2 linked regions of the Lepisosteus oculatus genome follow. The protein of the gene in region 2 binds, or shares a complex with, the protein of the main gene of each other region. Links are inferred from orthologs where the notes say so. Each region holds a gene or a part of one and is shown on either strand. Other genes may lie near its edges. The genes, in order: cnn1b and itpr1b.

The links.
Region 1: itpr1b (region 2) and cnn1b share a complex: the UniProt entries of both Homo sapiens proteins name them as parts of the cGMP kinase signaling complex. The link is inferred for Lepisosteus oculatus from reciprocal best matches to the Homo sapiens genes ITPR1 and CNN1.

What each region holds. Positions count from the first base shown.
Region 1 is NC_090706.1:17,296,689-17,313,303, reverse strand, and holds the start of cnn1b (calponin-1), read left to right. Parts: upstream 1-10,093; 5' UTR 10,094-10,301; coding exon 10,302-10,361; intron 10,362-16,615. UniProt on the Homo sapiens protein: Thin filament-associated protein that is implicated in the regulation and modulation of smooth muscle contraction. It is capable of binding to actin, calmodulin and tropomyosin. The interaction of calponin with actin inhibits the actomyosin Mg-ATPase activity.
Region 2 is NC_090699.1:54,879,901-54,896,830, reverse strand, and holds the start of itpr1b (inositol 1,4,5-trisphosphate-gated calcium channel ITPR1), read left to right. Parts: upstream 1-8,229; 5' UTR 8,230-8,453; intron 8,454-14,280; 5' UTR 14,281-14,301; coding exon 14,302-14,393; intron 14,394-16,930. Other genes in the region: sumf1 (formylglycine-generating enzyme), read right to left, coding at 4,319-4,393, 5,681-5,854, 7,116-7,406. UniProt on the Homo sapiens protein: Inositol 1,4,5-trisphosphate-gated calcium channel that, upon inositol 1,4,5-trisphosphate binding, mediates calcium release from the endoplasmic reticulum (ER).

The sequences.
Region 1 (16,615 bases), on a different chromosome or scaffold from region 2:
ACTTTCATGTCTCTTCTCTTTAATCATTCAGAGCTCTGCAGCTGAAATGACGGGAGCTCAACCCGGGCGATCTCAGCCTGGAATATTGGAGTGGTGGGGAAAGTATCACTTTCGTGACAAGCCGATAGCCAAATGGCCAGTTCCTTCAAAATTGGGAGAAAATATCAGCTTCTTTGTATTCCCTGGAAAAGAAACTCCTACTTGCTCCTGTTCCCAGTGCTTGTACAATGCCTACCACTTAACTTTCCATATAGTTTGTGCCATAGGTAGTTGCTACCACTCAGACATGCTCGAGTAGAGCATTAATGACCTAGCCAGCTTGGCCTGGTCTAGGATGCTTGATTTCAGATCTGTGCATCTTACACTTCTCTTCCTCAGACCTGCGGGGTTGGATTATTCGGAATTCTGTGGCCGCGGTAACACTGGGGGGACCACTACAGCGCCAAGGCAGAGCGAGCTGCTGGCAGGCGAGAATTGTTTAGAAAGGCGAATCCTTCAGCGCTTTAGTCACTGTCTCAGATCAGATCGCAAAAAGGGGGGAGACCACACAGAGGAACTTCTAAAAATGGCAATCGGGGAGTTATGACACTTCATAATGCTGCCTCCCTCCCCTCGCAACTTTCTCTGAGCAGTTGAATGTTGAATCTTAAGTGATTCGGTCACTCCTGCACTCCTGTGTGATCTTACGAGCATGGTATTTGTTTATTGTAGAATTAGGCTAATATCTTGCCAGTGTGTGTGAGGATGATTCTGCACTGCCTGGTTCTTGTCAGTGTTTCACTGGTTGGTTGCAGTCTGATTTTGAGTCCTAGGACTTGGGCTGTTGAAGCTGGTTTTCACAGTGGACAATCAAGACCCACCTCCAATATTATTTTTTTCTCCCTGTTGTACAGGATGAAACCAAATGATGGTAAAATTAATCTTTCAACAGAGAAATTGGACATCATCAGACCAATGTATTTATGTAGTTCAGGTGGGTAGCTGCATCAGCATGCTTAGGCTGCAAAGGAACAAGTAATACTGTAGGTTTATTCCATGCTGAAAAGAGAAGAAAGAAAACAACTTTTTGGCCGTGGAGCCTTCTTCGGGTGTGAGCTCACTTGTTCCAACGGATTTATGTATTTATTTCTCCCTTAGTTGGCACACTTCACTGTCTGTGTTGTCCAGTTGAAGGAACTCAATGGTGAAGACCTACTGCAAGTATATCTGTGCATCTATTTTCTAACCACTTCTTCCAATTCAGGGTCACAGGGGAGTTTGAGCAAGGCACAAGGCAGGTGGGATGCCAGTCCATCGCTGGGCGCACACACTCCCAGGCCAATTTCCTCAGAAGATAGTTGACCTAGCAGTATGTCTTTGGACTGTGGGAGGAAACCCATATGATCCTGGGGGGGGAACATGCAAACTCCCCACAACTAGCAACCATGGTCTGGAATTGAACCCAGGGCCCCAGCACTGTGCCATTATGATGCCCCTACAAAACCATTGTTTTACACAATGTGATTTAAGGAGCTGTTTACACCACATCTGAGTGCTTTAACCTTGGCTGGTAGGGAAACATTTACTGGGTTATACTGAGAGCAAGTTGCAAAGAGGACACCCGATACCAGCCTTAGCTGTGTAGCACACAATGGTAACAAAAGGCAGTTTTTCTTTTTTTGTCCAGGGATGAGGGAAATTTTCAGTATAGATGATCATATTTTGCTTGCAAATTGTACCATTTTGGGCTTTCTAAGGCAGAAAGAATAAAGATGGGATAATGTTTCAGCATTCCTTTTGAAGAAGAAAATCCCAAATAGAAATAAGGTTTGTTCACCTATGTTATTGAATAAAGCATTGCTGGTGAATTGCTGTGCATCCTGGACCCCATCTGCTCTGTTGGAAGTGTGTATATATATACTGTATGTGTAATGCATCTAAGCTGTGTTTTTAGAATAGAGAAGATGACATTTCTAATAAACTTGCCAGATTTGCAAATGTTGCTTAAATGTGATTTTGTCGAAGTTTATCTGAAATATTCAGGATTGGACAACAAAAAGGGCAGATATTTAATGTAGATGAAGACAAGAAGAATAGGGTCGATAGAGTAAACTATGACCAATATTAGGCACTGAGCTATATACAAAAGTGTTTTTTTTGTTACATTTCTCTTCTAGCAAATGTGAGAAAGAAATAGGGAAGGCAAAAGCAAAGATTAGCCTGTGGTCAGAAGTGTTTTATTTTAAATCAGGACTTCCCAATCCTCATCCTTGAGACCCACACACGTGTTTTTTCATTCCAGCCTTAATTGAACTAACATGTTGCTTGACTGGAATATGTGCAAGGATTTGTTTGTGTACTAAGAAGTTTGGGGTCTTATTTTACATATGAAATGAGAGGCAACCTCCAACGTGTTTCAAAGCTGAAAGCAGTCAAACACTTTAAATTATTCCGATTATTAAGTCCTATTAGGGGTTTCGTTGTTTAATGGAGAGCTTAGATGGAACAAAACCAGCAGGTGTGTGAGAGAGGAGCTGCTCACTTAAATCAATAATAATAACAATTGCTTACACTTATATAGCGCTTTTCTGGACCTGCTTTACAGGTAATGGGGATCTCCTTCACCACCAATGTGCAGCCCCACCAGGATGATGCGATGGCAGCCATAGTGCGCCAGAATGCTCACCACACACCAGCTATCAGTGGGGAGCAGAGCACTCATAGAGGAGAGATTCATAGACGGGGATTATTAGGAGGCCATGATTGATAAGGGCCAATTGGAAATTTGGTCAGGATGCCGGGGTTACACCCCTACTATTTTGAGAAAAGCCCTGGGGTTTTAATGACCACACCGAGTCAGGACCTCGGTTTTACATCTCATCCGAAGGACGGCGCCGGTTTACAGTATAGTGTCCCCGTCACTATACTGGGGCATTAGGACCACATAGACTGCAGGGTGAGCGCCCCCTGCTGGCCCCATTAACAACACTTCCAGCAGCAACCTTAGTTTTTCCCAGGAGGTCTCCCATCCAGGTACTGACCAGGCTCACACCTACTGAGCTCCAGTGGGCTGCCAGTTGTGAGTTGTAGGGTGAAATGGCTGCTGATCAATCAAGGGAGGTTCTGTTAAAATGTTACAGTGCCCTAGTAAGGCCTCATTTGGAGTCACTGGTAACTGCATTGCAGAAGAAAGCTGCACTGGAGAGCAGGAGTACATTCTTGTGCTTAAAGCAGTTGTGCCCAGTCCTGTTCCTGGTGACCCCCACACCTGTTGGTGTTCATTCCATCCCACCTTCGTTAGAAACCTGAAGCCTTGCTTGAGCGAAGAAGTTGCTTTAATTAAAATTTGCCTTTTGTTCCTTTGAATTTTATTTCATTTTGAAAATACGGTGGGTGAAAGCTGGGAACAAATATGGTGGAGCTTTAAAACCATTCACATTAACCTTAATAGTCAATGAAGGGGTTGATTGTGTAACTGAGGGCTCAACTGGAGCACAAAGCAGCATGGATGGCGGTCACCAGGACTTGGAACCAGTGGCTTAAAGGAATGACCAGCTCAAAAGTCAAAGGAACTGAATATTGATAGTGCTATTTAAAAGCACTGTATAAAGTTCTATTAATATTAATTGACCTTGGTATTATATCCTTAAGTACTTCTTAACTTTTATGTACCTAAATTCAGTATAAGGGTGCATGAAACTGGTTTTCTACATCCTTGCAGACAAGTCCAGTGGGCTTTTTCCGGGTCAACGGTGAGGCATTACGGGAAGTATGAAGGTGGGAGAGGAACTACGACCCTTCTCGGTACAGATGGTGTGGCACGTCTTTGCACAAAAGGGTGTGGGTGTCAAGAGAAAGACATGATATGCATCTTCAAGCCCATACCACTCTGCGTCCACTCGTCCACTCTGCGTGTTAATTACGGCCGGTGTGATAGTTATTTAATAACTTTAAACACTGCTCTGAGCAGAATTTCTAGGACTCATGTGGGTGTAAACACGGCGGTTAAAAATCGAGCTGCCCGCCTACCGCCCTGATAACAATAACCACTTTTATCCTGTTGAATGAAACAATGACTCGGGCGCTTAAACAGTTCGTCAGCCTGAAACTGTTTTAAAACTCTGATTTGGGGTACTCCGATCTGACAGCGGCCCTGGGGAATTGTTGTAGTCATTCTTGGATAAATTATCGCTGACTCGTCAAAGCAGGTCTTCGCATCACTGCTTAATTAGTTCTGTCATTAATTAGCAGTGCTGCGGATTCGGCGGTCCGCGTGACTTGTGCGCTGACCGTACGAAACCTTTCGACCTGTTCAGCGCTCTACAAAACCGGTAGTGGTGCAAGGCATATTGAGCACAGCCTTTGCCTATCCAACTGCAGCTGGTCATGTGCTTCAACTTTCTCTTCGTTTGGCTCGTAGTCTGATAAAAAATACTGTTTTTCTACTGTTTCCAAAATACCGAAACGTACCTCCTGAACACAGAGTATCTACTGTATAGTGTATAACAGGTCTTCGTCATATTGAAATCCTTCTCGTGGCTGGTTTGCGGGCAGGGAAGAAATTTTAACTGAATTGTCGCAGTACAAAATACGAATTTTCTCAGTATCTTCTCAGACCTGTACAGTTCTTGCAGATTAACAATAATATTGCTGTATATCTAGTTTGAATTAGCTGATGCCTGTAAATGACACATCAAAGCGGTTTCTGAACGGTACATAAAGTGTAACAACACGTCATTCAGTATCTATTGTATGTTCTAGTGTATTTATACTACGTGTAGTATAGACCTAATTTGGAAGTCTGTGAATGAACAGTTAAAATTGCATGAAAGAAAAGTCGGTCAGTAGTAGAAGTGCCCGAGAGCGTTAAAGCACCGAGATGTCGCACCTTTCTGCTTATAGAAGGTGCGCGAATCTTCCCTCTGTCTGGAATATTTCTTTCTGGCAGCCGAGACGACATTGCGATCCAAGCGCTTTTGCAGGCAGCGTTATTTGGCTGCAAGTACCCCACATGCCCAAATAAAGCCTCCGCATTCCTCTTGTTTGGCATTTTCCAAAATGTTTACAAGACCTCCGCTTGCTCTTTCTCGCGCTCCCTCCCTCCCCCTGCCTCTCTCTTGAGTAAAACGGCACAATATCCACCCCGGAGATGAAATCGCTCCCCTTTGGCCGGGTTTTATTATATAAAGTAGGGAATCACTTTGTTGTCAGTGCGCACTGAAGTTATCCCAGGCGGACTTATAAGGCAAAGCTACGACCGCGTCTGTGCCGCTTTTTCTGCCCCAAAAGAATGCGAAAGTAAAGCCGACCCAGTAACGCCACTCACTGAGAGCTTAAACCGTGTTTTTATTAAAGCTACAGCACGAAGAGCGCACGACAGGGTCCATTTACACGCAAATATCACATTCCGAGTTGCACCTTCACCCGCTATGAGATGACACACTTCATATAGCAGCTTCGTCCGGCTCTTCCTATAAATAGACAGTTACTTTCAGCAGGGCCAAGTGTGATGTAGCTATAGTTCTCCTCTGATTTATAAAACCCGACTTGGTAACTTTTTTTTTTTGCTCATGTGCTATTTTGGGAAAGGAGGACAACTGGTAAACTTAAAATGACACAAATTAGAAAACCCAAAACCTTTTATTTGTGCCCTCGAACTTCCGAGAATTCCGCAAAGTCTTTACCGACCATGTGGTGTCACCGCTTGAGAACCAGGATGCCCTCCTCTCTTTATCTGAGGGCGGCGGGGTCCCCTGATGCCAGCTGAGCACTTAATTGCTTAATTGACGCACTACTTGCATGACATTTTTTCGGTCTGGAAAACGGGTGATGACTAAAGCACTTCCAGCAGTTTGGCACATTGTGTTGGAGTTCGCACACCTTTGATTTTAGATCAGCTGGACTGACTCAGTCCAGTCCAAATGGAGATCTTACACACGTGGGGGGCTCTGAATGCCCCCACACATACACACAGAATAAAGCGGCAAAACCTCTTTAGTCTTGAAAAGAAGGACCTGCCTATGAGGTTCAGTTCCAGATTTTGAAAAGGTTAAAAAAGAAAAAAAAAAACCCCACGCGAGGAGCTGCATCCAAGCTCAACAGGGAAACGCAGGCAAGTGGAAATTCTGACCTGACGCTTTCAGGACTGGGATTAGAATTGCTCTTTTACACAGCCAGACAATATTGGCAGGGTAGTGATCTGTGTAACCAATAAACCCAGCCTGTTCCCGCAGAAGCTAATAAAAAAAACCCCACCATTGTTAGTTTTAATTTAAAACAGAGAAGCCTCTTAAAAAAAACCCACCCACTTCCCATCTCTGTAAACTCAGAAGCCAAGTACAGTAAACACAGCTCTCAGCAATTGACTTCAGAAGCCCTCAATTGCATTGCAATTAGCAGTCGTGTTTGCTTGGGATGGGCTGGCTTTGTGCACTGAGCTGGTGTCTGCCACTGAAATTCAGACAGTCCTTAGTCGTGTAGCCACAGATCTGCCCCTAACTCGTGCTCACACTGAGGGAATCCTTCAATCTCCTTGTGGCGATTTATCCACTACACTGTGTGGGGGAGCTAGAGCCTATCCCAGCAAGCAACAGGCGAAAGGCAGGACCCTGGACAAGTCACTAGTCCCATGCAGGGTGCACACCGACAAAAACACACTCACACCAGGGCCACTTTTCCCAGAAGCCAATTAACCTACTAGTATGGTTTTGGAGTGTGGGCGGAAACTGAAGCACCTGGAGGAAACCTGTGTGAACACAGAACATACAAACTCCACACAGATGGCACCGCAGGTCCAGAATTGATCCCAGTGCTGTGATGTCACCACTGTGCCCCTCTTTCCTTCTTGTGAGTTCTAAAAACATGGAGCTCTTAATACATCTTAATACTGTACACATATTACACTATGGTTCCATTCATTTCACTCTTCCAGTGCGGCATTCCACTGTAGGTTCAGGAGCTGCGGGGATCTTTCCTGGTGATGTTGGGCTTTTTTTTTAAACTTTCCTCCTGGTGACTGAGCAGAGTTGTATGTGGACCCCTGGATCCCCATTCCAGCAGCTGTCGCAGGACCACCACCAAATCCGCAGCTCCATAGGGACATGGAGCCATTGAATTCCTGGGGAATTCCTGGGGAATTCCAGGTAATGGGTTAAGCAAAGACATTAAGGGGACATTTGGCAAGCAAGCCTTTATAACTGATGCCTTGTAGCATCCTGAGACTGGATATGCCCTGATGGCTTTCTTAAACTAATACTGGATATGTCAAAATCTAACAGTAGCTCTAGGTCTTCATACATCAGTGATGATGGTGAATTGTGACCCATGAAGGCTGCCCCCTGAAATGGATCCTATTGTCAGGTTCCTGGTTCTTCTGATCCTGATTGTGCATCTTTGTAAAAATGGAAGGCACTGTACTTCTTTCTCGCCCCTCTTCATCTACCCACCTTCTCTGTGCTCGCAAACTATTTCTTATGGTCAGTTGCCCTTAATTATACCTCTGTGTTCTCATTAATGAGTATGGCTGTTCTAAAACTTGAAATTCATTCAATCTTCCAATTAACAGTCCATTTAAAAATAAAAGTGCTTTTTGTTTGTTCCTGATTCCAGAAAACATGGCTTGTCTGCAGAGTACATTGTATCCAGATGATTCCCACGTAAAAAAACTGCCAGTGATTCATGCCTCTGTGAGCTTCTCGCAGGGCCCATCACTTAACATTCCATTTCCCGGGCTTCCAGAACGACACACGTGTGTAAAATAGGAAAACGAGTTCATTGTTCCCAACCCTGTGACATCATGTGGAATTGCTGGATCTGGCAGCTAAGCCTGGTCTGGAAGCTGTGCTTTGTCCCCAGTGAGCGGTTTACACACCAGTGCTAGTTCTGTGCTGGAGCCACAGCACTGAACCCCCCATCTAGAAGGTGGACCAGCCTGGTGTTTTGGAGGTGCTGTGCCTGACAAGTAGAAATCGCTTTGTTTTACTTCAAGGTTCCTTTTAAGAAGAATCTCCACTCCCTCCCCCTGTTTCTCATTCTTGGATGCAATTAGCTAATTGTTCCCAGCATCCTGTCAAAAAGCAAGCCGGCTTTGACAACAGGACTGTTATTGGTTCCAACCAGCTGCAACTCTTTGTGTAAAGCCATCCTCAGTTTCAGTTTCTACTTGGCAATAGTTATACAGCTCCTTCATAACAGTCTCATCATGCCAGTGTTTCTTTTCTAGTGGGTTTTAAGACATCTGTGGATATCTTTGTAGTGATGCTCTGATTGGTGCAATGTCATAAAGTCTAGATTTATCAAAAAAATCGGACTGATGGAAAAATACTTAGTGGTTATGAAAGGAGAGATAGCACTGAGTTCCAGGGGTCACTGTTGGATATGATTGAACTATACTAAAGTACTGCATTATGTTTAGTAATACAGTAGTAGCAATGTATAGGCATTTAATTTTGGTCTCTTGAGCACATTTTAGTTTTCATGTTGAGCCAAAGATTCATACATTTGTAGTTGTGTGAGCAGGTCAGATTCTGTAATGTGAAAAGAGACTTATCATGCCAGACTGCAGGGCTGTCGGGTCCCAGTGCAGGACTCCAGTATCTGACTGCTGGGACCCACCTATACAAGTTCAAACAGTCCTTCTCAAGGTCAGACTTCAGATCTGAAACTTGTTCAACTAGACCGGTGAGCAGGGCATGATGTGATCTCTTGCTCTCTGGCTGCACAAGTCCTCCTAGTGCCCTATTATTGGAGAGTTGAGTTTTAAGTACAGGAGTTAAAATATTTGAACAAAACGTACATTGATAATTCAGATCATTGCCTATTGGAGGTGAAATTAACTTTAAAATCTTTATGAATGCTCTTCATTCCATAGCAGAAGGGAATGCTGAAAGAAAAGGAAAGGAATAGTTTACTGGGGAAATGGCCTGGCAAGGTCAATGGATTGATTTTAATTGGATGAGCCATTGCAATGAAACAGTGGTGTTGGTTTAATTAACCCAATGGTTATCTTTTACTCCTGGTACCCTTGTTAATCTGAGCCCTAGCATGTAAGAAATGCTCTGTGATCTGTTTCAAATGTCCCCAGTGCTGACGCACCTAAAAACCTGTGTGGTTTGTCCTTGAATGAGGTATTACTGTAGTGAGAATCTCGTGACGGTAGCGTCAACGCCTTCTAACCAGGAGGCTGTCAGACCTTGGAAGCTCAGCAACTACAAGGGCCAGAGCCCTGTAATGGAAACTCGGGTCCACTGTAAGTGTTGGTGGGCCAGCAGGTGGCAGTCTTCCCCCTGGATCAGAAATCCCATACAATGATCCAGTATGGCAGCAGGACAATATATAGACGTGTTATAGGACGTGCCGTGCAGTTGAGGCCCTTGGGCTTTAAAGATCCCACAACACTGTTCTGGACAGTAGGACACATCACCCAGGAGGAAGCTGCACTTCAGTGATGAATACAGTGGTCCCCTCTTACAGATAAAGTGGTTTTGCATTCTTTCATGATAGAGAGCCCTTGTTAGCGCTCTATAATAAGGAATAACAATATTGAAAAGAATTTGAGGACCTATTTGTGCACTAGTGCCTTGGGCATATTGAAAAGGCACCTTATTCTCTTGATTTGACCACACATTCTGAAAATAATGATTCTGGGGAGAAGGGGGAAACTCTTCCCCAACCTGTTTTCCATTTATCGCAATCTGTTACTTCCCAGTTGGGGGCTAATGAATTAAAAGGTCCTCTTCTTTAAAAGGTGAATGTCAACTGCTTATTTCTCATTCGAGAGGAAGATTAACTTAGCCTGATGCTGAATGTTTAGTGAATGCGGTCTGATGATCGTATCTAAAAGGTCACAAATGATTGTATTGTTTTTTGATTTGCCACCGATTGCCTTATTTGTGTTGACGATCGTTCCAAAAATAGTTTTGATAAAACGTAGAGGGGTATTACAATGAATGTACTACAGAACGATAGCATCTTCAAAGTCCACCATAGGTGGAAAACGTGACACGATTCCGTCCTAATGCCATCCCGCTGACATCACTGAGAAGCAGTAGGCCGCTGCGATTGGACAGGTCCTGGGCCAATCGCAGCGAGGCCCGCAGACACACAGATGGGAAGAGTTTAAAACAGAAAGAAAGGTTTTGGAAAGTGGTCCAAAACTTTTCCAAAGGGAACTAAAGTGGGGAAAACGACAGCGACCGAGACGAGGAAGTCTTCCACGCACCCCCGTGAAGCTTCACTGCGGCAGAGCGGACGGTTTTGTAATTTTGCTGTTCAAAATCTGTTCTATTTCTCCTTTTTGTTTTTAAATCGACTGTGAACGAAACATGTCAGGACATTTCGTCAGAGGACCTGCGTATGGACTTTCGGCCGAAGTGAAAAACAAGGTAGGATTTATATACATGTTGCTCTGAGTGGATATTTCACATCACAAACAGCATGTTCTCTAGAAACGTTTAATAGAATTAGGGAGACAACTCCAGTCCACTGCGATTCTATCAAAATTTAGATTACCAGTAGCTTGTCATGCACACGGCACAGAGCGCATAAATAAATAAATCGGTAACATCGGTTCTAAATCTATTTTTATTGCTCATGCACAACTTAGCTGGGAGGGGGACAGACCCCACCAAAAAACCTTGAATTTTGACGGGTTAAAATAACCCCAACGTGATCTAAAGACACCTGTTAACATGTGCTGGTGTATACCACCGTTTAAAGAAGCGCGCATACTGGCGATTGTAGAGCTCCCCATCATTAACTTAATGCACCTACAAAGACTACAGGGAAACAGGGATTCGAACTGCTTGTTTAAAAAAAAAAACCCTGTTGTTTTCAAGCGATGTTTTTTTGTTTCTAGCTCGATTAGTAAGCGACTCAGGTGATGCTGATGTCGAGTGACGGTTCTTTGATGTCCAGTCGGTGATCGCTCTTTCGCCACACGCTCTCAGTGCGATAATTCGGTGCTGGGGACGTACTGTATAAAGTATTTAACAGTTATTTCATGAGTCAAGACCGACAGCTGAGATTACATTTCCAAGTGGGATAGAAAAATAGCTTCGTCCTCTGTTTGAGATAACGAGGGGAGCCGATTATTTTTTTTTTGGAGACGTCTGATAGAAACCCGCTCTTTGATACTTGGACAAGCTTTGCTTTCTCCGCAGTACACTGGGTCTCGGGTCTTAATTAACCGATGAGGAAGGCGTTGGACGTTCTCTTCATCTTGAAGTTTTCACAGCTTAACGCCTCACAGCTCTTTCCTTTTCTGTGTAAAGTAAGCCCCAGGTGGGAGGTATCCACTGGGTTGGTAGAAGAGACCAAAGTAGAATCCAGACCGATCTCTCACTGAGACTCATGCACAGGACTAACGCTAACTGCTTCTGTACGGTCAAGTATCGGTGCACAGACCTGAGAATGTCCCAGCGAAGATGGTAACAAAAGGATACAGGGTAAATTACTTCCTTTAAATCGAGAAGTGCCCCCACTTTAATTGCTGTGGGTCTGTTGACATCAACAGGAGGAATTTAATTTCCTCAGAAGCTGGAAGAGTCGGTATAATCCGACATTGTCCACGCAGCCCTGTCTCGGGCCCAGCAGCTGTTGGGAATAAATGATATGATTAAATTGGCTGGAAATACTCCTAGAGCTAGAAATACAAGTGTGACACGTGCTGGACGGTCAGATGGTTCTGAATTTCCCCATCTTCTTTATAAAGGTGTCTGGAAAATCTCAGCTGATTTTTAGCAGGTCTCCCAATTCCACAGTTAGTATGAAGGCCCTCTGGGGAAATGGTGTCCAGTGTCAGCTGGTCTTCTAGGTCTGGTTAAATCGGCAGTGCCTGAAGAGCTGGGAGAAGCTGTTCAATTGGCCCAATTAAGATGCTAACGAGCTGATTCGGGTCATTAAGATAAGAATCCAGCATCTGCTCTGGGCCTCTGGGTTAGTGGTTGGGCACCCCTGACCTGCATGTTTGATCCAGCGGTAGGAACTTGACCTTTCTATATTCTGTACATATTATAAATCTATTACCTTTGATGTGCTTTCTACATAAAGGTCATGTTCTTCTACCAATTAGTTGTGAGGTTGTGTAACCGAAAATAAGTTTTGGAGGAGGGAATGGGTTCCCTAGGACAAAGAACAGCCAAGAGAGATTTTTTGTGTGCTTTTATCAAGGCCCATTTATACTGATGGTAAAACACGACATTATTGGACTTGTCTCAACTCAATAGTCCAATTTTAAATCAGAAATGCAATATTGGCCAGCACAATCCTATTTAATCATTTAATTACCTAGTACATGCTTTTACTCTGGTGAACATGCAGTGCAGAAAAATTATATTATGTGTAAGTACAAGGGTATAGTGGTACAAAAAGTAAAATAAAAACAACATGAAGCAGGGTGTTCCCAGTACTACATGGTATCCACATTGTCAAGTACATACTTGTGCCCATGGTGAAGAAGCACAATTAACATGTTGCATCGCCAGGTTGAGATTTGAAACAGTCTGTGCAGTAAAGTGTAAGAGTAGGTGAGGGATGAGAGAGCACAGGCGCTGTTGGAACACGAGTCTTGAGGCCTGTGGTCTAGGGTCGAGTGACTGTACCTCTGGAGTGTAGGGTCCAGTCTCCAGGCAGTATCTACCAGTGCCACTGGTCCAGGACCAGGCGTGCAGTGGTGGAGAAAATGAATGGCAAGAACATGCTCGGATTGATACTGGAAACAGTCGGCAATGTCTGGGATGGGATGTTCATCGGGTGGCCTGACCTTTTCTTGATTTTTTTTTTTTGCCGCCTTGGGGGGCGGGGGCATATTGCACTTTCATTACAGGTGAATGAAAAATAAACAATTTCTCTTTCAAACTAATTTTATCATCTTTACCCACGGTATTATTGGAGTAGCATTTAGAAATGTTCAGTTTTTTTGGAACAATGAAGTTGGGTTCGTTTTTGCAAATTTCAGACAAGTTAATTAAGAATCAGGAACGTTGGAATAAAGACGAAAGTTAATGCATTTCAGGGTGTTCCCTAACACAGATCCTCCAGGAGATTGAGGATGTTGGGGTCCCCTCTATACATGCACCACTACCTCAGAGATATGGGTGATGCTTGTGTCTTCCTGCAGAAATTATCAATTTAATTGCAAGGAGCTTCTCAAACAAATTCAAAACATGGATGGGATAGGGGGTATTACAACATAGCAGCATCTTAATTGCATAAGGTTGTTTATAACAAACATTAACAAGTAAGAATCCATTGAAAAAGTAGGCTACAGTCCTCAAACACACTGGCCATCTTATACTGTCTGCATAACTACAGATTCTGTGCACTCTGTCACAGAAGCTGACTTTTTGATGCCCTTTATCTCTTACATTATCACCTGTTGACTCTGACCAACAGAGTCAACAGGTTGACTCTGTCAACAGGTTGTCAACAGAGTCAACAGGTTGGTGTGTTGTGGTATGTAGCCATCTGTTAAGTAACTCTTTACTTTAAGAATCTGGTCTGCTTAGCTAGAGCTATTAAAATAGCCCTTGCTATATGAAAGTTGAGTTATTCTACCGAAGTTGCACAGGGCCCTTGCAAATGTGATGTGCTGTTGCTTTTAACTGGAAGGTGCCTCTTGGGCAGATGCTTTCTAGATAACCATTTCTGATCACGGGATGCATCTTTTAAAAATTCTTTATGCACACCTGGAAGAGCCAAGACTCTTGTAACCGCCCACCTTTGAACCACTCGCCAATGAGCATGTCACAGGCAGCCCCGCCCAGTGACGGAGGACCACTGCTCATTGGAAGAGAGTCCATCACTGAAAGCACTGCATTCCTCCAGGCACCTGAGAGGAGGCAGGGGTCACTGAGAGCTGAAAGAGCCCAGACTTGGGTTCTGTCCATTGACCCTTGGCAAGTTCTCAAGCTTTCTTGAGCTGCATCCTTCAGAGAAGATTTAAAATCAATTTTTGTGAGCTGTTCTATACTGACTGGTGTCTACAGGTGATGCTGGATAAAAGCAGATACACTGATCCCTGAAGCACAGGGGACAAGGCAGAACTGAGAGCATGACCTCTTGTACACTGATATCAGGGGGGCATCAGTCCATCAGAAGACCACAATGAAGGTGACAATTAAGAACCCTCTGTTGAAAACCCTTGGAAAGTGAGGGTAGATTATGCAGACCTCAAACAGAAGGCCCCTGGAATCACAGCCAGGACCCGAAAGCTGTGAGGCTGCACTGCGGCATGCTGTCCAGGACTAATTCAATACGTAAAAGATGTATACCATTATCCATACCATCGGGTCAAGACCTCCAAGCATTTCCTCCTCAAGGGCCCATGGCCAGCTTTGCACCCTGAATTTGTATTTATTTAAAACATTTATCACATGTAAATGATGGGTTAAAAATCTATAAAACGGATATCTCAAATTTAATTCTTAGAGGTCCTAGTGCATTTCTTTTTCATTGTTTTCTTGTTTGATATGTATAGGATTTTTCTAAAGGTCATTTATAGCTATTCTGAGGTGGGATATCGCCAGACTAACATCCTTTATTGTTGCTAACTGTTGCTGAAAGGCTGATCAACGCTTTCATCTTCTCTGGAAATGATTACTGTAGCTCCCTACTCGCTGGGGTTTTTAAATCCACAGTGAACAAGCTATAGTAATGTATGTCTGGAATTCAGCAGCCAGAATCCTGACCAGGTCTGGTGCAAGTGATCATGTTAGTCTTATTCTAGAGTGTTTGCACTGGCTTCCCGTCAGATTTCAGATTAACTTCAAAATCCTCATGTCTACTTATAAGGCTCTTGTCTAGTACCTGTTTGTTAGTATCATCCTATTCCTAGCTTTGCAACCTTCATTCTTCTAATTCTGGACTCCTATATGTCCTCCAAGTCTGTCTACACTCTGTGGGTGCCAGTGCCTTCTCCTGCTATGCCCTAAAGCTCTGGAAGTTTATCAAAACCCAAAACCATCTTTAGAAGGGCTTTTATGTAACTGGTTCTGTCTGCCCCATTACTTTCCCACTGTATTCCAAACACTAATTGTAATTGTAATTCTACTGTCTCCTCTCATTATGTATCTTTTTTTTCTGTAAAGCACTTTGCGAAGCCATTTTTTAATGGCGCTATATACATTTATTATTTACAGGGCATAATCAGTTTTTGATTTAATTAAAAACCCTCCAAGCCAGGATAGACACATCACAGCTATGGTGATGCATGTGGTGATGAAGTAAATCGGCTATGAGATATCCGAGGGTTCCCGACTATCCAGGACTTGACCGTCTGAGCCCCCCTATATTAATATCTGCAGGATCCAGCCATGCTAGACCCAGATCCTTGTGCCTTAGCAGCATCCGAGTTATCATTCATAGTTTTCTATTCTATTCATACTAGGAATTCCAGTTCTCAGCCTCTGACCTCTGCCTTTTCCAGCAGCATTTGTCCTTTAATGATCCCTCCCACCCATTACCTTTGGTAGGAAGGAGTAAGGGAGACATCAAAACGAAGAGTCTGTAGTCTTTTTCGTCATCTTTGTCCTTGCTGGTAAAGCAACATCAGCGACCACAGAACCCAGGTTCTGTACAGCCAGGGGCTCTGTGCACACCCCCGCATCAGTGCCGAGTCTCTCTCCCCTAGGAAGCCAGCTGGCTGCGTCCCGCTGTCTCTCTGATGGGTCCCAGGCCAGCAGGTGCTCGGCCCCATCGGGCGCCTTATAAGGAATCGGCGTACTCGGCTGAAGCTTTTAAGCTGTGACCTGGTGTAAACAGTTTGGAACATGCTGGAGCCTGGAATTCCCCCTTGATTGAGATTGAACACTCAGCGTTGCAGAAGGACTGTGGATTGCGGGCGTCGATCATAGATCAGACCCCTTTACCTGCCTCTGCAGAGATGAGGCAGCTGGAAATGTGCCCTCACCCCATCACTTCCTATCTGCAGATCTAACGTGAACTGGGTATTCTTCAGCCTAATGTTCAAATGTAGCTCTTGTATCGTTTGCTTGGCCATACGTTGTCGCCATCAGACCTTTTTATTTCCTTCCCAGAGCGTGCACACAACATTGGAGACTCCTAGTTCTGGTCCCAGACAAACACCTGCTTTGCTGATTTCCATTCCAACCGAACCTAATCGCTTAATTGAAGCAATGAGTTAATTGATTGGATTTGCAAGTTTTACATTTTTATTTGCTTTGGAAATGCAGAAAAAAAAAATACAACACCAACATGTTGTAAGAGCTGGAAACGATCATGAAACCTATTATTAAGTCAATTAAGGGTTTAATTGTGCAGCTGAGAGCTGGACTGGAGCGCAGACCAGCACGAGTTAGGACGTCCCGGACTGTGTTGTAAGAAACAGTCCTGCAGCTCTGTTGTAAGGTAACAAACCACTTGAGGTCAAATACTTGTTTCCTTCGTGGTTCAACAGCACAAGAAATGAGTGAATGGCAATTAAGTCTTGAGCCCACTAACAGCCAAATGTATGAAGGACGGGGCGGTGCTCTGAGCCGTTTAACCAATGGCAGTCGTTACAGTATTGTGTTTGGGGTTTTTTTATCAAGTAAAAAAAAAATACATCTGCTCTTTTTAAAGATGGCTGGAATAGGAAGGGGAGGGGTGTTTTCCGAGCCCATCTGCTTCAAAGAAGCTG
Region 2 (16,930 bases):
TTAAATTAGTGGTTTGATTTTATTCATCATCTGACATTCATTTCCAGTTTAATACCTCAATGAATAAGAGCAAAAGCCAAGGCATTCTACATGAAAATTTTGAGAGTTTAAATAAACAGATCAATTAGAGATGGAACAAGAAGTTTTATAGGTCTTTTTACGTTTACATCAACTAAGAGCCAACATGGGTTGATGGAAAATTTGATGCACTGCCAGCTGAGTTGTGTAATGTAGATACTGCCAAGATTGGATATGTTGGGCGACTTTTTTTTAGAAAACACTTGCTGTCCATTTTAAGGCTTAGCCTTGAAAAAATGGATTAGAGTATAAATCTCTTTTTTTTGGAAGCAGTGCCAAAGTAATTGTTTATAAAAGAACTCTTATTAATACATGATCTAAAAAGTGTGATAAAGAAAACTTAACACACTGTATGGGTTGAACTGAAGCCCCACTGAACCTAAAGGCTTTTCTTAGGACAGCAAGGAGGTGGCACTTGTTAGCAATCACAAGAGTCAAGAAAGCCTTGAAGCTTACTGTTTTATGCATGTCTCAGTGTCAAGCACGCACTGCAGTATTCATGCCAAAAACAACTTTATCCAAATTCTGCCCCCTCTTCAATCTCCATAGTAACTGACTGTGTTGATGCTGCACCATCTGTAAGAGATTACATACTGATATGCATGCTAGCACATTACTTTAAGCCACACCATTACATAAAGAACAAAGTCTTCTACCTCTGTAAAACAAGCTCGTATTTTCTGAAAATATTCCAAATTTACAGAGAAGTTTTAAAACTAACAATGTCAAATGTACTGCGTAAAGCACAGTGAACTCCAATACAGATTTTACAGTATAACTTCACCTGGTTGCTGATTGCGATTTTGAGTGTCATAGTGAAACAAACCTCCAACTGCTCTGGAACACGTTAATGCCATAAAAGACATATTACAAAATTAAATGGAGTATACTTACGTGTATATAATAAATACCAAAAATTATGGGCATCCTCAACTAGAGAATTAGTTTTTCAACACACTAGAGTCACTTTGGAAAAAAATGAAGGTACGTTGGGTGTTGTAGTAATGATGACGATGACCACAATAGTTGCTTTTATAGTATGTGCAAAATACATACTTTTCAATATTAATTAAATCCTACCTTTATTTGAAATATATGGCAAACAAAATGCACTTTAATGGAAAATAACTCTCTGCATTGTGGGGAAAAAAAATACAAATCCAACTGGACTCTTATTCATAACGGACTACGGTGTATAGAAGCACATATTGAAAAAGTCAACAATAATTCTGCCCAATAATACAAAATGTGCAGCCTTTGGTCCTGATACCCATGTTAGAACACTTTGATTCCAAAATACACTGGGTTATTTTATTCAAAAACTGGGCTTATGTTGCAAAGACGTTGAAGCTTAACCATGAATGAACTTTCCTGTAGCATTTGAACACGTAATAGGTGTATTCCATGCTGAAAAGAGAAGGAAAAAAACACAACGTTTCTGCTGTGGAGCCTTCTTCGGGTGTAAGGTGCCTTTGCAGCCATGCATGCTAACACAGCTACCCACCTGAACTACTTTCCTGTAGTATATTGACCTGAAGAACACTAAACTTTACTGGGGAAGACTATAAAATAGAGAAAGGATGAAGTGGATGTGAAATCAGTGTTATTGATTTGAAGAGCATTAAACTCTTCTTTGTCCTAAGTGTGACCCCAGATAAAGCATTTGATATTTGATAACAGTCAAAACCAAGAGGTGTAAAACTGTACAGCAAACTGAAGAGTAGTCATTTGTATTTTTTTTATTTTATATAATTGATATTTCCTCTAAGAATATTCCTTCTGAAAATATTTGGACAACTTCTAACAAAAAGCTGTTAATATGTAATTCCTTAGCTTCAGCTTAAAAGTTACCTTATTCACTACAAATATGTTTCTTGTGATTTAGTCTTAAATAACTGTACAGAAAACCTCTTATTGAAGGAACAGTAAGAAGACTAAAGCATAACAAACTAGTAAAAAAGTAAATCACCCATGTGCAGAAAACGATCTTATTTGTTTCAGCACTAAATTTAATCAAAGCAACTGACCATTAAGATAACCTCTTGAACTCTTGTGGTACCATGGGAAACTCACTAAACCATAACGATATCATCACTACAACCTTCCCAAAGAAAAATATAATGTGCAAAGGGAATTTAACGAACAAACTTCAAAGCAACAGCTGCAGTGATTGAAGTCAATGGTTCTTCCACATTTGCATTTCAATACCTCACCATTAAAAATCTGCAGCACTCAGTCGTGGAACTAATGCCGGCTTTTTCTGGAATGTTGCAAAACGGGATCCATTCATGCTAATTTTACCTCAGTTTCCCTCACCTTCCTTACCTCTCTAACGATTTGCAACTCTGCAATCAACATATGAATGAAGCCTATTTACAGCACTAAGCAGTTCCTGGTGACAAGACGATAAATAACACGCCTGTGTGTGTCTAAGCCTTTATGAATTCTCAGTGTTGTGAAAGCATTTGAACATTGCAACTTATTGAAGGTCACGATGTTTATTAGAAAATCTGGATTTTTTAACAAATCTATCAATGAGGGCAGCGATTATAGTCTTTAAAGTACTGATCTAGAGATCATTATATTTAAAAATATAATAGTCTGCCAGAATAATGATAGCAATAGAAAACAATAAAACTACGGGTAATACAATTAAAAAGGAATACATTCAAGATGTTCTCAAATCAAATTCACTTTCGCAAAAATATACATTTGGGGTTATATATTCCTTGATTGAAACGTATTTAACTCAAAGTTGTCCAATATACAGTGTACTGTATACTATAATGTATACAATACACAGCATAAATATTTAAAGAAATATTCACTTTTCACTATTGGTTGTATGTATATCTTTATTTATACCTCACACCTGAAAAAGGCTCCATGGCCGAAATGTTGCGTTTTCTTTCTTTTTTTTTTCCAGCATGGAATAAACCTATTACTTGCTCCTGTACTGTATATCTTTAGTATGTTCCTATGCTAATAACCTCTCCTAACATTCTGTTACCTATGGACAACGTCTTTAACTGAAAACGGAATATAATGACATGCAAATAACACTTCCATTAGGAAAGGCTGGATTCATACAAAGCATTTCTCTTAAACTTATTTTGGATGATGGATAAATAAAGACAATAATAAAATATCTTTCAAACTTCAGACTGACGGGGACTGCCAAATATGTAAAGAGAGATTGCTTAAATAGGTTAATTAATGCCTCACTTACTTAAGGGGAAATACAAGTGAAAATGCAATTAAAATAAACTTGAACAAGGAGCCAATTTAACTTTGTCAAATCTTTATAAGGGAATTAACCTATTTTGTTACTTGGAGATCAACATAACAAGATGGCTTTGTAGAGACACATTTACAGAAACACCACTTTACAAGTAACCATTGCTTCTGTTACGTGTTTGATGTTTTAAGCATTGGTTATACAGTATCTACTTTACTGTCCTGGACACACTGAGTGTCAGTAATTCATGGTGTCACTTGTTGTGAAAGTTAGATGAATGTAATAAGTAAATAAAACATTAATAAATAAGTAGCGCTGGGATAAAGAAGCTTGCATGAAATGTTGGAAAACTATCAAAAAATTCCAGAGTTATTTCTGTCCCCTCTTTGTAGGTCACTGAATTCCCAAAGGCACTGAAACAGAATTTGTATATGTAAAAAGCATTTGACAGTGCATTTACTAATTTACTTATTTTATTTAACAAAAATATAACCAGAAGAGGTCTGGTACCAGATTGAAATGGTTAATAAAACCTCATAAGAGTGAATCTGGCTTTGGTATTGTGGAACACTTTGCTTTCTTGGAGACATCCCAAGAAATGATTTTGTGTTCCACTCCTCATTTAAATATCTGCAATCTTGAAAGGGTATAATGAACTATCTGTAGTGTATTTCATAAGCCTTTGATGTCTTAGTAACATGGACCTAAATTCCTCGGATCTGATCTTGAACTTCAACAAAGAGGTAACATTTTCATTAAGAAATTATACTCCTGTTCAGAAAATTAGATACTGCATGCTGAGATCCAAAGAACCACCTAAAATATTTACTCCCTGTGAACCGAGGGTAAAATGTGGAATGATGACCTTATGTATCTTCATGCATGAATTCCAGTTTAACCACAGTTGTATTTTTAATAAGAAAATATATTCTTCTTAAAATTACAGTAATCATGCAAATGATCATCACACACGTTTGAAAATTCAAGAAGTAGAACACTTACTGCTTGTGAGATTTGCGTCTTTACTTGTTCGCTCAATAAACCTTCATACACAAATGAGTCCCCGAACTTTTCTGCCTGAGAAAAAAAGACATTTAAGAAATATATCTTGCACACTTGCAAATAAATTTCACAGCTTATACAAATCAATAGTTTCAGCTGTCCTCACACAGGAATCGTTTTGAGGCTCGGAGATATCAACTAATTGACTCCCAGTTGTATCTCAAAAACTGAAAACGCACCTAGATTTTCATGCTCAGTTAACTTTTAGGGGTAGCTTGGTGGTACAGTAGATGCTATTGCTGCATCAAAGTGCTGGGGCCCCGGATTCAAATCCAGACTTGGGATGCGAGTTTATATCTGTTCCTAGTGTTTCATGTGGGTTTCCTTCAGGTGCTCCGGTTTCCTCCCACAGCCTAAAAACATACTGGCCAGTAAGGCTTCTGGGGAAATTGGCCCTGGTGTGAGTGTGTGTCTGCCCCGCAATGGACTAGAGACCCGTTCTTCCTTGTGCCCATTGCTTGCTGGGATAGACTCTGGCACCCCCATGACTCTAAAATAGAATACTTGAACTTGAACTTTATTGCCATATGTAACTGCTACTGGTACAATGGAATTCTTACTTACAGAACGTCTCTCGATTGTAAAACAAGTGTAAAAAACAAGACAAAGTGCAAACAGTGCATCAAGACAATGTGCAAGTAAACATGTAGACAGTTTGAATGTAAACAATACAGATGTGTAAACAATGACTGGAGATGTGCAATAGATAAGAAATTATAAAGAGGTAGATGGTGATGGTGTAGGTGTGGTCCAAGGGGGATGGCTAATTGTGTTCGCCAGTCTCACTGCTTGTGGATAGAAGCTATTGAAGAATCTAGTGGTAAGTGTCCGTATGCTCTTATATCTCTTGCCTGAGGGAAGTGGGGTGAAGAGCTCATGCCCGGGGTGGTGACTGTCCTCTGTGATGGCCAGAATTCTACCACGGCAGCGGTTCTCATAGAGCTGTGTTCACAGTCCAGGTTAGATCTTTAGAGATGTGAATTCCCAAAAACCTAAAGCTGGTGACTGTTCCCACTTCCGTTCCATCAATACTGAGTGGGCTGTGAGTGTATGGCCTGTGTCTCCGAAAGTCCACTATTAGCTCACTATTACTTGGCTAGAACATGAATGGATAGGCGGTTCCCTTATTTTCTGGGGCTTAAAAACAAAAGATGGATGAACTTTTAGCAACACTGTATAATGGGTATGAAAACATGTGGAGGCTACTGTATACAGACTCTGTTTCCATGGCAGGCTATATTTCAATTGGGAAAAAAAACATTTAATTCCTTCACGGCATCCATGGCAGGGGAGAGACCTTACGTCTGTCACATAGCCGGTGGCGTTGACAAAGTTTTCAAACTCCAAGTTGCTGACTTCATAGACATCCATGTAGAACTGCTGAATGTGCACTGTGCGTGCTGGGCCTTCCCCGTCCTGAGGTATTGCGGGCTCATCTGTACCCATCGTGAACTTCCCCGCTGGGATCAGCACCATCTAGAGCAAAGAGAGCGAGTACTGAAATAAGACAGCCCCATGATTACAACATGTAAATAATAATGCGCTGCACTCGACTAGCCCTTGTCATGGACACTGCATTGATTTCTGTTCGGATATTGAGACTAAGATCTAAGTATCAGGAAGACTGACAGCTTCAAACCCTACATACCGGAGAGTGATATTCCCTGGGGGAAAAAAAAAGAAATGGTTTGCTTAAAAGAATCACCTGTCTTGTCAATTATGACATGGTGGTGTGGTAGTAAACGCTACTGCTTCACATATCACTAGCGTGCCGAGATCCATTCCAGCTTTGAGGTCTGTCTAGATGGAGTTTTCCCCCTCATTCATGTGAGTTTCCCCTGAATGCTCCAGTTTCCCCCCAGCACCCAACTTCTCTAAATTGTGTCTTTAGTTTCGGGGACTTCATAGGAGTGACGTTGTTGCCAGTGCAACCAGCACTGTCTATAAAAATTTAAATAGAACCAAATCAGCACAATGTGCTAAATCCTCTCCTCCTATATGTTACATTTCTGATGTTTGGATTGCATCATCTATTATCCATCATACAGTAGTCATAACTTCCAGTATGATGCAAGTAGCTCATCATGCGTGTGTTCTGGATGACTGGATAGACCCAAACGTTTAAACTCAAACTGTCATTTTGTGAACAATCCCAGCATTTCACAAGTACATTGAGTGAGTTAATCTGTTGTTTTAATTCGGTTTTAGCACTACAACACCTAAAAGACTTCACAACATTGACCACAGCTCCATAATCAGAATACCGGCAGACATTTACTTGAGATGTCACGGTCTCATGAGCTGAAAACAGTTTTTTAACAGTGAACATTAGATAACAATAAAAAAAACATTCACAGGTATAGTGCTGGCATTGATACAACTATTCAAGACCCCAGACACCTTGTTTTTAAAAACGTTGTATAACAGCAGATTCGCTGTATTTGGTTTCTGTTGTATGACGTTTTGTATGTATGTGACGTTGCATACTTTCACTTTTAACCACTATACACCATAGGTGAGATGAAAATCTTAGGCAGTAGTGCAATAGGATTTAAACCTGAGTTTGCAAGCCTCTTTATAGCAAAACAAAACAAAGTTCAAATGAAGTAAACAGAACATCACACTTAGATGCATGTCTGATAAATTAAACCAATGTTAAACGTTACACAATTCCAAACGCAACTTTCTGTCCCAAACTTTATCTAACATAGCGTGATGTTTAGGTAATCGATCACACCTTGTTATGAATGGCTGCAGCTTTTGCATTAACCTCATTTTGTGCCTTCTCTTCGTTTGCTTCTTTGGCGTATTTGGCACTTGCTTGTTCAGACAACGAAGAGAGACTTTCTGTGTCCGCAGTCTCAACTTCTCTGTTCAAAGATTGACATCCACAGCTTCGACCTGCCGAATTAGAAGAAGAAAGCTGTTCCGCTCTCGTTGTCGCTGATCTCTCTTCGTCTGCTCCATTGGCGTGAGATGCAAAGAAAATATTTATTGAGAAAAAAACAAAGGCGGAGAAGGCTAACATCGTTACAACTTCCTCAGTCCTGCAGTCTCAGACTTAATCATTTCTTTGTGCGTGCAGCCATAGTTGTTTAGCGTCACATGACTAGTCAGCTGACTTTTTGTGTCCGTTCAGCATTGTTTTAATCAAAAAAGCAAAGGCATTGAAAAATCAGTTCTATATTTTGGGTTCCTCCCTTACGTGTGAACACAGTATAAAGCGATGTAACACCATTTAAAAAATAAAACACTAAGATGGCAATCTTAGTGCCTGAGGTCCCAGCAAAGTGCTGTTGCTGAAGTTGTCTTCTCACTGAATTCTTCTTCCGACTGAACTTGACAGAAAAACTGAAGCTGCTTACGCGACTTGTAAAACATACTATTAAACTTGGAAAAATTAGGTTTCATATGAAACTAAAGGATTGCCTTGAAGCAGCTTGCATGCTAGTAGTTAAGATTACCCAGTTTAAAATGTAAGATACATTTTTCGATTGGCTGGTTTCGAATACTTCGGAATAATATCGAGGAAGACGCATATATTCAAAATACCAAATAATTTTGTTAATATATGATAGTTTGGTGTAATGTCGGATAATTTTAGTCCGTTTTGCAATTCTGAAATGAACGAAAAGAGCACGATAAAATAAGTTCACTTCTTTCATATAAAACTACATAGACTCTTCAAGTACCTTTACTTTAACTCCTCCTCCACATAATTGGCAGTATGGGATTTGTAGTTATAAATAGTAATTCTTTACTGTCAACTTTCACTTATCAGTTGATCTATGAAACAACATTTCCCATAGTTCACTGCGGATATATAATAATCGGCAAAGAAGTGCAGCTTTGTAGTGCTCATGTGGAGGTAGTGCAGAGCGGAGTGAAGAGGGGAGGTAAAGCGCTTAAAGATCCGCCTCTTTTTTTCTAACGGGAGTTTAAATAACATGGAATTAAAGGAAAACGGGATCTGGAAAATTATCATCCACTAATTAAGGTTGAAGCGTTGCAGCTCCCAAGACCAGCTCTTCCTTGAGCGAAGGTAAAGTTGTATGCATCTCTGCAGTTTTAAAAGGCAAGCATCTTAACCTGTGTTGTTAGTATTTACTTCTCGTTTAAATGTGTTAAATTTACGACGCACCTTTCAGTCGGTGATCTCCAAGCAACCTCAGATCGCTTTCAATGGAGTTGTTACCGTCAACTTCTTAAGGGGTTCGAATGAGTTCTTGATCGTAAAGCACTAATGAATTCAACTCAAGTTCATCCTGTATGGAAGTGATTACGTTTTAGTTTTTTTACGTTGTATCAAAAATAGGCATAGAATTACATTATGGTTAAGTGATAGTAAAAATCAGAGGAATTGTTAAGATTGTATCCTTTTACGCTATGCGTAACGCTCAGGAGAACTGTTATGGCTTTGCTTTAATAACGCAAGTATTTAGTATTCGTATCGTGTTTAAAAAAAACGTTTAGTCCTCTATTTAATAGATAGCATTCGTAACTCTAAAAACTAGCGTTCACCGTCACTATTGGGAATTCTTTGCGTGCAGTAGCTACAGTACCATTTGATTTTGCAGCACAGCACACCCCATTCCCAAGATTCAACGAATAGTGAAAAGTGCATACCACTGGGCACATATACTACTACATTTTCTACTGCAAAGACTCGCATGTCTGTGCTTTTAAGAGCTTCAAAATGAAGGACATGGAATACAAGGCCTCAGGAAATATGATGTGCGTTTTTAAAATTGTAATACCCTGTTATACTTTGTGTCCGTACTGAAGCCGGCGCGGTACCGGTCTTTTTTGTTCGAGTTGTTCTTAACTTTTAGTCGCGTTCCCAGGATAGCTTAATATGTTCAGTGACAGAATATACGACAGAAAAGAGATTGGGTTATTTGTAATCATTAGCCATTGTGAGTAAAAATCATGTTAAAACTTTTCTGGTGGTTTCATAATATTAAAAATATGACGGAAGGAAGCAGCGTCTATCCGAAGAAGTAACATACCTATACTCCGAACTTGTTGGCTGACCTGACATCATGTGTTTTGCAGAATAAATCCGCTTTTCTGCTTTAAAAGGCATTTTAAGTTTTGTGGACATTATAGGACGTTTATGGGTTCTAGTTAGTAGCCATACAAAAATTCGGAAAAGTGGCTTTGTAATATGAATGTGTTGTAAGCTGCTTTAAAACTGATGTATAATATTTTGAATGAAGTATAGTATTGGAAGATATGATTCATTGTCATTCCCAGCCTTAACATTCTCAAAATATCATTTTAAATACAGTGTTTTGATGATAATAGCTTTAAGTAAGGAGGAGGATAATGACATTACTAAATAAATATGAATGCCCAAATTCATTGTTTTTGTGTCATTGGGAAATTAGTGAACTGTGGTATTTTGATTTCTTTTTTCAAATTTGTAATGCGCCTAGTTTTGTAAATGGTTGGCTCTTGTTTGAAAATTGAACGACGCAATCAGATTAATTTGATAGACAAAACATTCACTGTGTCGCTGATGTACTATAGTATATTGAGCAGTCTTGGTCATAGCCTTCAACACAGGTAAATTATATATGTGTTCTTTTGTGTGTTCTTCAATGACCTTTTGGCTAAAAAAGAAATGGAGAAAACAAAAAGTGTCAGAAACAAAGCAAACAATCAATGAATAAACGACATCAAAACATTCCCAGCATTAATGTCTGCTGAAACCAGTTTGATATTTTTAAACGGACAATTCAATTTCTTTGAGTAGCTCCCCAGTAACTAGTGATGCATAAGTGGACTGACCTCTGTATACTGCGACACAGTTCTTTTTTAGAGCACCGAATGCTCTATTCAGTGTCTTCTAATTAAGTCACTTGTTGCATTTATGTCCAACACTGTATAGCGATTGTGGCTGCCTTGGTAGAAGTAATGAAAAAACATCTGAGTCTTGAGTGGGTGAGTGGGCTGTCATCTTAGAATCAGGCACAGATCATTTGTTCATTTCTGTGCATTTGGGTACAGATGGGAAAGTATGAAGGCAAAGTGTGTGTTGTTGAATTACTGTGCTTATTTACACTGAGCAATGAAAATAAACTGTTCTAGTCGATCGGTAACGTTTAAATGTGGACACCATTTATGTGAGAATATTTATCAAAGTTTGTGTTCCTGAATGTAAGTTGCTTCTTTTTGTGTTTACAATTAATGGTCGACTTCAATAAGGCCACACACTTTTACAAGAAGTACAATGCTTTCAATTCCTTATCTTGTAGGTTTTAACTTAGGTTTTAAGCAGTTGACAGGTTAGAGGTCCCATATCTGCTCTTCTCTGAATTTTTAAAAACATACTTTCTGTATTTTAATGGTAATAAAACTCTTCCCATCACCTCATGCCACTGCTGAAGTAATCATACTTCTGCCGAAGTATCCATTCTGTAAAATCATGCAGTAGTGTGGCTTCACCAATTTACCTTGGGTAAAGAATAATGTAAAGAATAATGGTAGAGGGAGACATTGATCTTCTAAAAATAAAGCCCTGAATGAATTAGAAGAGACTGATGCAATCAGAATCACTAGCAATCTAGTGCAGGAAGCAGTTTGAATGCTGATGTCTGGTTTTTGTGCAAATGGGTATCAATTAGCTTCCCTCTGCTCTTCCTTGGATTTCAGCAGTTCTCAGTGAGAAAAATTGTGTGTGTGTGGTTTGGTACACTGAAACAGGGTCAAACAGGTTGCTGTTTATGGTTTTACTCTTCTCAGAAATGAGTTCCTGAAATACATTCAGTGCCCTCCAGATGAATTGAGGCGACAGTCAAAACTTCTTATGTACAATCAATAAATCTGCAATCATGACATTGACAGGATCTATTTGTCTAATATGATATTTTATGTTTGGGTGATTTCAAGAATACATATGATGATGGAACAGAAGCATGTTTTGTATTCATCCCAGTGATTTCAAGAGACTCTTCTCTGTCTCATTTAGCAGTCTTCTCTGGCTCAAAACCTTTTGTTTTTGACTGCAGCTGAAACCCTAGGAAGAGCAGAAACGGCTAAGTAATACCATGGCTTTACTGTCCCAACACTTTCAGAGGGTGCTGTATCCAGAATTGCTAGGGAGGCAGACTTGGGGCAGTTTTATACGGTATATCTACAAGTGGTCTTTGGAAGTGAATGGTTTCTGGGCAGTCTGGCCTCTGAGTTCCTGCTGGAGTCTCTGACATTTGTTTTGTTGTATGTGTGTCTTCCCACACACAGTGACTCAAGCCCTGCGATGTACTGTACATCTGTGCTAGGCCTTTGGTCTTTCTGAGCAATATCCATTTCAGATTGCATACAGTCTGCTCTCCAATATGGATTTGTTAATATGAAGGTACAGTGGCTTGTAGTGTATTTGGTTTATTTTATGACACAGGGTCCAGTTCATGTTTTATTTACTTGAAGATTATTTTGAGCTAGTAAACTATAGTCAGACATTGGTGATGTCACTGGGTAATTTAATACATGTAACAACATAAGAAAGGAGAGGAAGCCATCCGACCCATCTTGCCTGTTTGCCAGGCGTTGGCTAATAGATTTCAGTAACACATTGAGCCCCTTTTTTGGAAGAAACCAGAGTGTTGTCTTCATCAATGTGGCTTGTTCCATACTCCCAAAGCCCTTTGTGCCTCTTTTTTCTTGTTTTAAAATACACTTTCTTATGCACCTTATCGTAGTAACAGTGGGGTCCTGACATTTTGTGAGGTTTCAGCGCATAGAACTGTTACGAATAGCCAAATTAGTATATAACCAAGTCCACCCCTATACTGGTGCATAATCTGCTCCAGTGTATAGTATATATGGTTAAAAGATAGGAGTAACCCTCCATATATGACAAAGTTAGTTAAAATAACATTGATCAATTGAAACAAATGGTCATTGCAAAACCTAATTGTAATCCGCTAAAATAAACAACATGAATCTGCGTCTGTCATTCCGCACACTGCCGACACAGAACCAGAAGCGTTCTCTACAATACAAAAACAAGAGCCCATTGAGTTGCGGGTGTTGGGTGTCGGGTACTTGGGTAGGGAGAGGCTGAATCACCAGTTACATTGATCTCACAATTAGTCTAATTTGAAAATTGTGCATGACATCCTTCGGCTTGGTTTCATCCCACTCCACAGCCACACCAAGTCACGAATAAGCAAATTTGTGAATGTTAAATTCAGAGCTGTGGAGATCCTCCTGGCCTATGTTACTGAATGATTGACTAGAAAACATTAGGAAGTGTATTGTGAATTTATTGCCTTTTTGCAGTAAAGATATTTAAAGAATATGTGATAGCTGGTCATTACTAAGGAATGAAGGTTTTGATATCCTTAGGACCTTCATTTGTTTTCTTTTGAATTCAGTTTTGGCAGAGAAATAGTCTGAATGTTTTCTCAAGGGAAATAACGTATTCAACCCAGTATACTCTCAGGACAATTAAGGTTTTAAGATTTTTTTAGATTTCTTAAGTTATTAATCACAACTTCTCCAAACAACTCAAACCCTTAATGTGGTTATATTTAGACAGCATATCATTCCCTGTCCAAGTGATGGGTTTTTTTTCTGCAAGAATATTCGAGAAAGTCCCTACTATCTATACTTTTGTCTTTTTATCATAACATTGTAAACAATGGGGAAAAGTGTGAAAATATCCATGCACATACACAAAGATGAACACAGGAATTATAACAGGTAACAAAATTTGGTTAAAAATAAAGTTCCCCACACTGCTGACCCAGTACTAGAAGCATTTGTTACCATATCTATCGTCTTTTATAACATTGTAAGTTCTGCTTAGCTTCATATTCTTTAGGAGGGTACCTGGAACTGCATTAAGTTTGGGAAGGAACCTTCGATATAATAATCACAATCGGTTTGTGCAATAGCTTTCTGCATATTCAGCTTCCATTTAAAAGCAGTCTTAAATTTTATTTCTTTATTTGTGCTGTATATGAACGTAAGATTAAATAGTTCTATGTTCTACATGTTTTTAAACTCTTTTATTTATGGAATGTAGAATTTCAAAGGCTTTCTCTAGAAAAGTAGGTAGTTCTTCCTGAGTATTGCCAGTGTGGCTATCTTACATTTAACTTACTGTTTAGGCACATTGAATCACATTGATCATGATTTATCAAACATTTTTTTGGCAAAATTTGATGAATGTATTCAAAGAATAAATAAACTTCTTAACACCATTCCATTTGCTCTTGCATATCATTTGGGTTTCGGTTCATCATGCAGAAATTAAACTTTCATTTAACTTTGTGCCTCTTTGAAAACTGTACTGCACTTATACAGGGGAAGAGACTCTAATACTGCCTGTTTTACTATCTCTAGGCTTTTCTGCATGTTTTCTTCATGGCCTGTCTCTAACATGTCCTGTTATTCTCTGTAGTAATACAAAAAGTTTTTGTAATTCATACCATGTATACCGGACATTTGGGATTCATCTGATCCAATTACTAAAAAGAGATATGTTATACCTTGCAGTGACTGAAAAACTGAAGAAATGAAAATTGGACATCTGTTGAAAGTTTCTGTATTTTATTACTTTATTATGTAATTAAAGGGACTTTCAAGTAATTTCAGATGCAGTCTTTGTTACTTCGGTGTTATTTGTGGATGAAAGTATTTCATTTAAGTATTTTGATGTAGAGTCTTCTCATTTTACATATGTTTGTTCTACCAAATAAGTCAATAATATTGACAAAATAATACAGTATAATGCTATTTTCCCATGTTGCACCTTTTTTAGTATTTGCAAATAAGGAAACTCACTTTCATGAATAATATTGATGAGAAATAAACTGTGAAAAAGTCTTATTTTTTTCTCTTGGTTCATGAAATGCTTCTAAAACATCATGCTTTTGTTTTTGTTTTTACAGGAGAGAAGGAGGAAATGAGAAATGTCTGACAAAATGTCTAGTTTCCTACACATTGGAGATATTGTCTCTCTGTATGCTGAGGGATCAGTAAATGGATTTATCAGTACTTTAGGGTAAGTTGTTCATGTTTTAAAAGCACTTAATAAAGGTCAACAGCCATTAGGTCCCATTCTATGTACATAAGTACCCATTTAATAGTGCCCTAGTATTCCATCATTTATGTTAGAATCATTTTGAGTAAGTTTTTCAGCAGTGATAAAGAACTGAAATTTGTGTTAAAATTGATTTTGGCCAGAGGAATTACTGTGAGGATCTTGTGATGATGATCTGTGAAGAGACCTTGTAAAACCTTAGAGCTCATTAGGCTTCAAATAGCTATATGAATTTGTCTATAAATATTTATCCTATTTCAAAGCTATCCAACAGATTGTGTTTTAAACATTGTAATATATTGGTCTGTGGTTTGGATTAACATGATGTTGGTGGCAGCGCCTCATGTTAGACGAATTTCTGAAGGACATAAAAAAATAAGCTTTGCTTCACTGAAAAACTTCCATTTTGTCAATACAAATGTCTTCAGTCCTGCCTTTCCACTGCATTTACTGTATTTAGGCACCTCTGTAACCCATTAGCCACAAACAAATGATGCCCAGTACACTTTAGTCAGATTGTTTCCTCCAACATGCACATTGTTTTGAAAAGATCTGAAGCTGTGTAGGGAGGTTATATCCTTTACAGGACATTTGCTTTACATGTGTTGTCATAAACTGAAAAAGCAAGTCATTGCCTTTTCCAGCATATTTGTGTTAATATTTTAAACTAGGTGCAGATTTCAAAGTGTTATTTTGCTGCCTCTCTTCCTCACCATCCATGCTTCATTGATTCATTATATTACCAATGTGAGAAAAAGCAATTGCATTGATAGGACAATTAGTCTTTGTTTTGTATGTATTATTGCAGTCTAGCACTTTTGCAGTTGCATTTTATCTGATTTTAATTGATTTGTGTTTCTGAAAAATTGAAAAACAGACATTTTAAATAAGTTGCAAGATCTAGCATTCTGTTTCTGGATTGGCATTGTGATTTTTGGATAATTCTCAGGCCCTGGTATAGGGTTATTGTTACTATTCATCTGACCATCACACATAGTTGCCATGTTTTAATTTCAGTGCGATTCAACAGTTGAGTTTGTACTAAGTCCTTAAAAGTGGGCAAAACATGTTAGATATCTTTTTCTCTGCTTCATTCACTTTCCACAGCCAAAACCACATTTTGTTTTCTCACTACTAAATATTTATTGCCCCTCAACATATGTATTGTTATTATTTATTACTGTCTACATTGTGCAGTGTTGTCTGTTGTACTGTGTATGTCCAGAGAGATCAGCGCGATTAAGAATTCCAATGTACTTGTACATATGGCAATAAACGACTCTACTTGGAACTAACCTCTAAAGACTGGCAAGTGAAAGTGAATAAACTTCTGGATTGTTCAGCTGCTGTTTGTAAGCCCTCAGTCAGACCCTGGATAGACCTGGCATACTCAATCATTATTTCCCCAGGAATGCGTAGAAAAATCACATGGATAAATTGATTAACTAAACAGCAAAATAGTTTGTTTAGTCAACATATATCACAAAGAAAGAACAGTGCTCTTTTCACAGTTATAACATGCTTGCCACTCTAATGATAATCAAGAGCTTCAACTTTAAATATTTTTGAAACTTTGTGAAGGTTAGATTTACCATTAACAGCAGTTATATGTCCTAATTATTAATGGTTTTATGTATTATAGTATATAAGTATACTATACACAAATGTATAGTGTATGTAATAGATATGTGTATACACTGGCTGACAAATTTAACTATAGTGCTAAATCAATTTGTGGTAGTTAAATCTTTATTTTTAAAACATTTCTGGGGGGATGTGGGGAAAAAAAAGACTTTCTGAAGCTTCTCTCCTCTATAAGAGGGTGGCTTTTCAGCTGTTAATGAAACAAAATTCACACTGTTCAAGCTCATCTTTTAAAAGAAATGTAGAAATTATTGTAGGTTTTAGACATGTAGCTTTGTAAAGGCTTTCACTCTTAAAATAGCACATGTAATTAAAAACCTAAGGAAAGAATCCTGTGGGAAATTTAACCATGGTATGCTGACAGTTTTTTTTTATCAGAAATGTCTTTTCAGCTGTTACAAAATTTAAAGCCCTTAATAATTTATAAATTATGCATTTTAAGTTTTCAGCTTATTGTTTTTGCAGAAGGTGCTCCCCATATAGTAGGATGAAATTAGTCTTGAGTAACTGTTATAGGTTCCTGAGCAGACCAATTTAAATTTAGAATAACTGCATTAAATAAAATTGCCAGGATTTCATACCAGCTAGCCTACACCCTGTGTTACCAAGCACATCTCATTCGAACAGTGAATGCACAAAGAAATATTGGTCAGTAATTATGTGTCTTAGTTCTATAGCATGTGAGCATGCACAGTCTTTATCTATGTGATAAGTGCTAAAAGTAATGTGATCCTTGTTTTTCTGTAACCATTTTAAGTAGGTGCATGTCATTATGAGCTTATCATTAATTAAGCTGAATGTGCAAGAGTATTTCAATAAATCAGTTAAGGAGCTCCCATTGTACTTGTTCATAT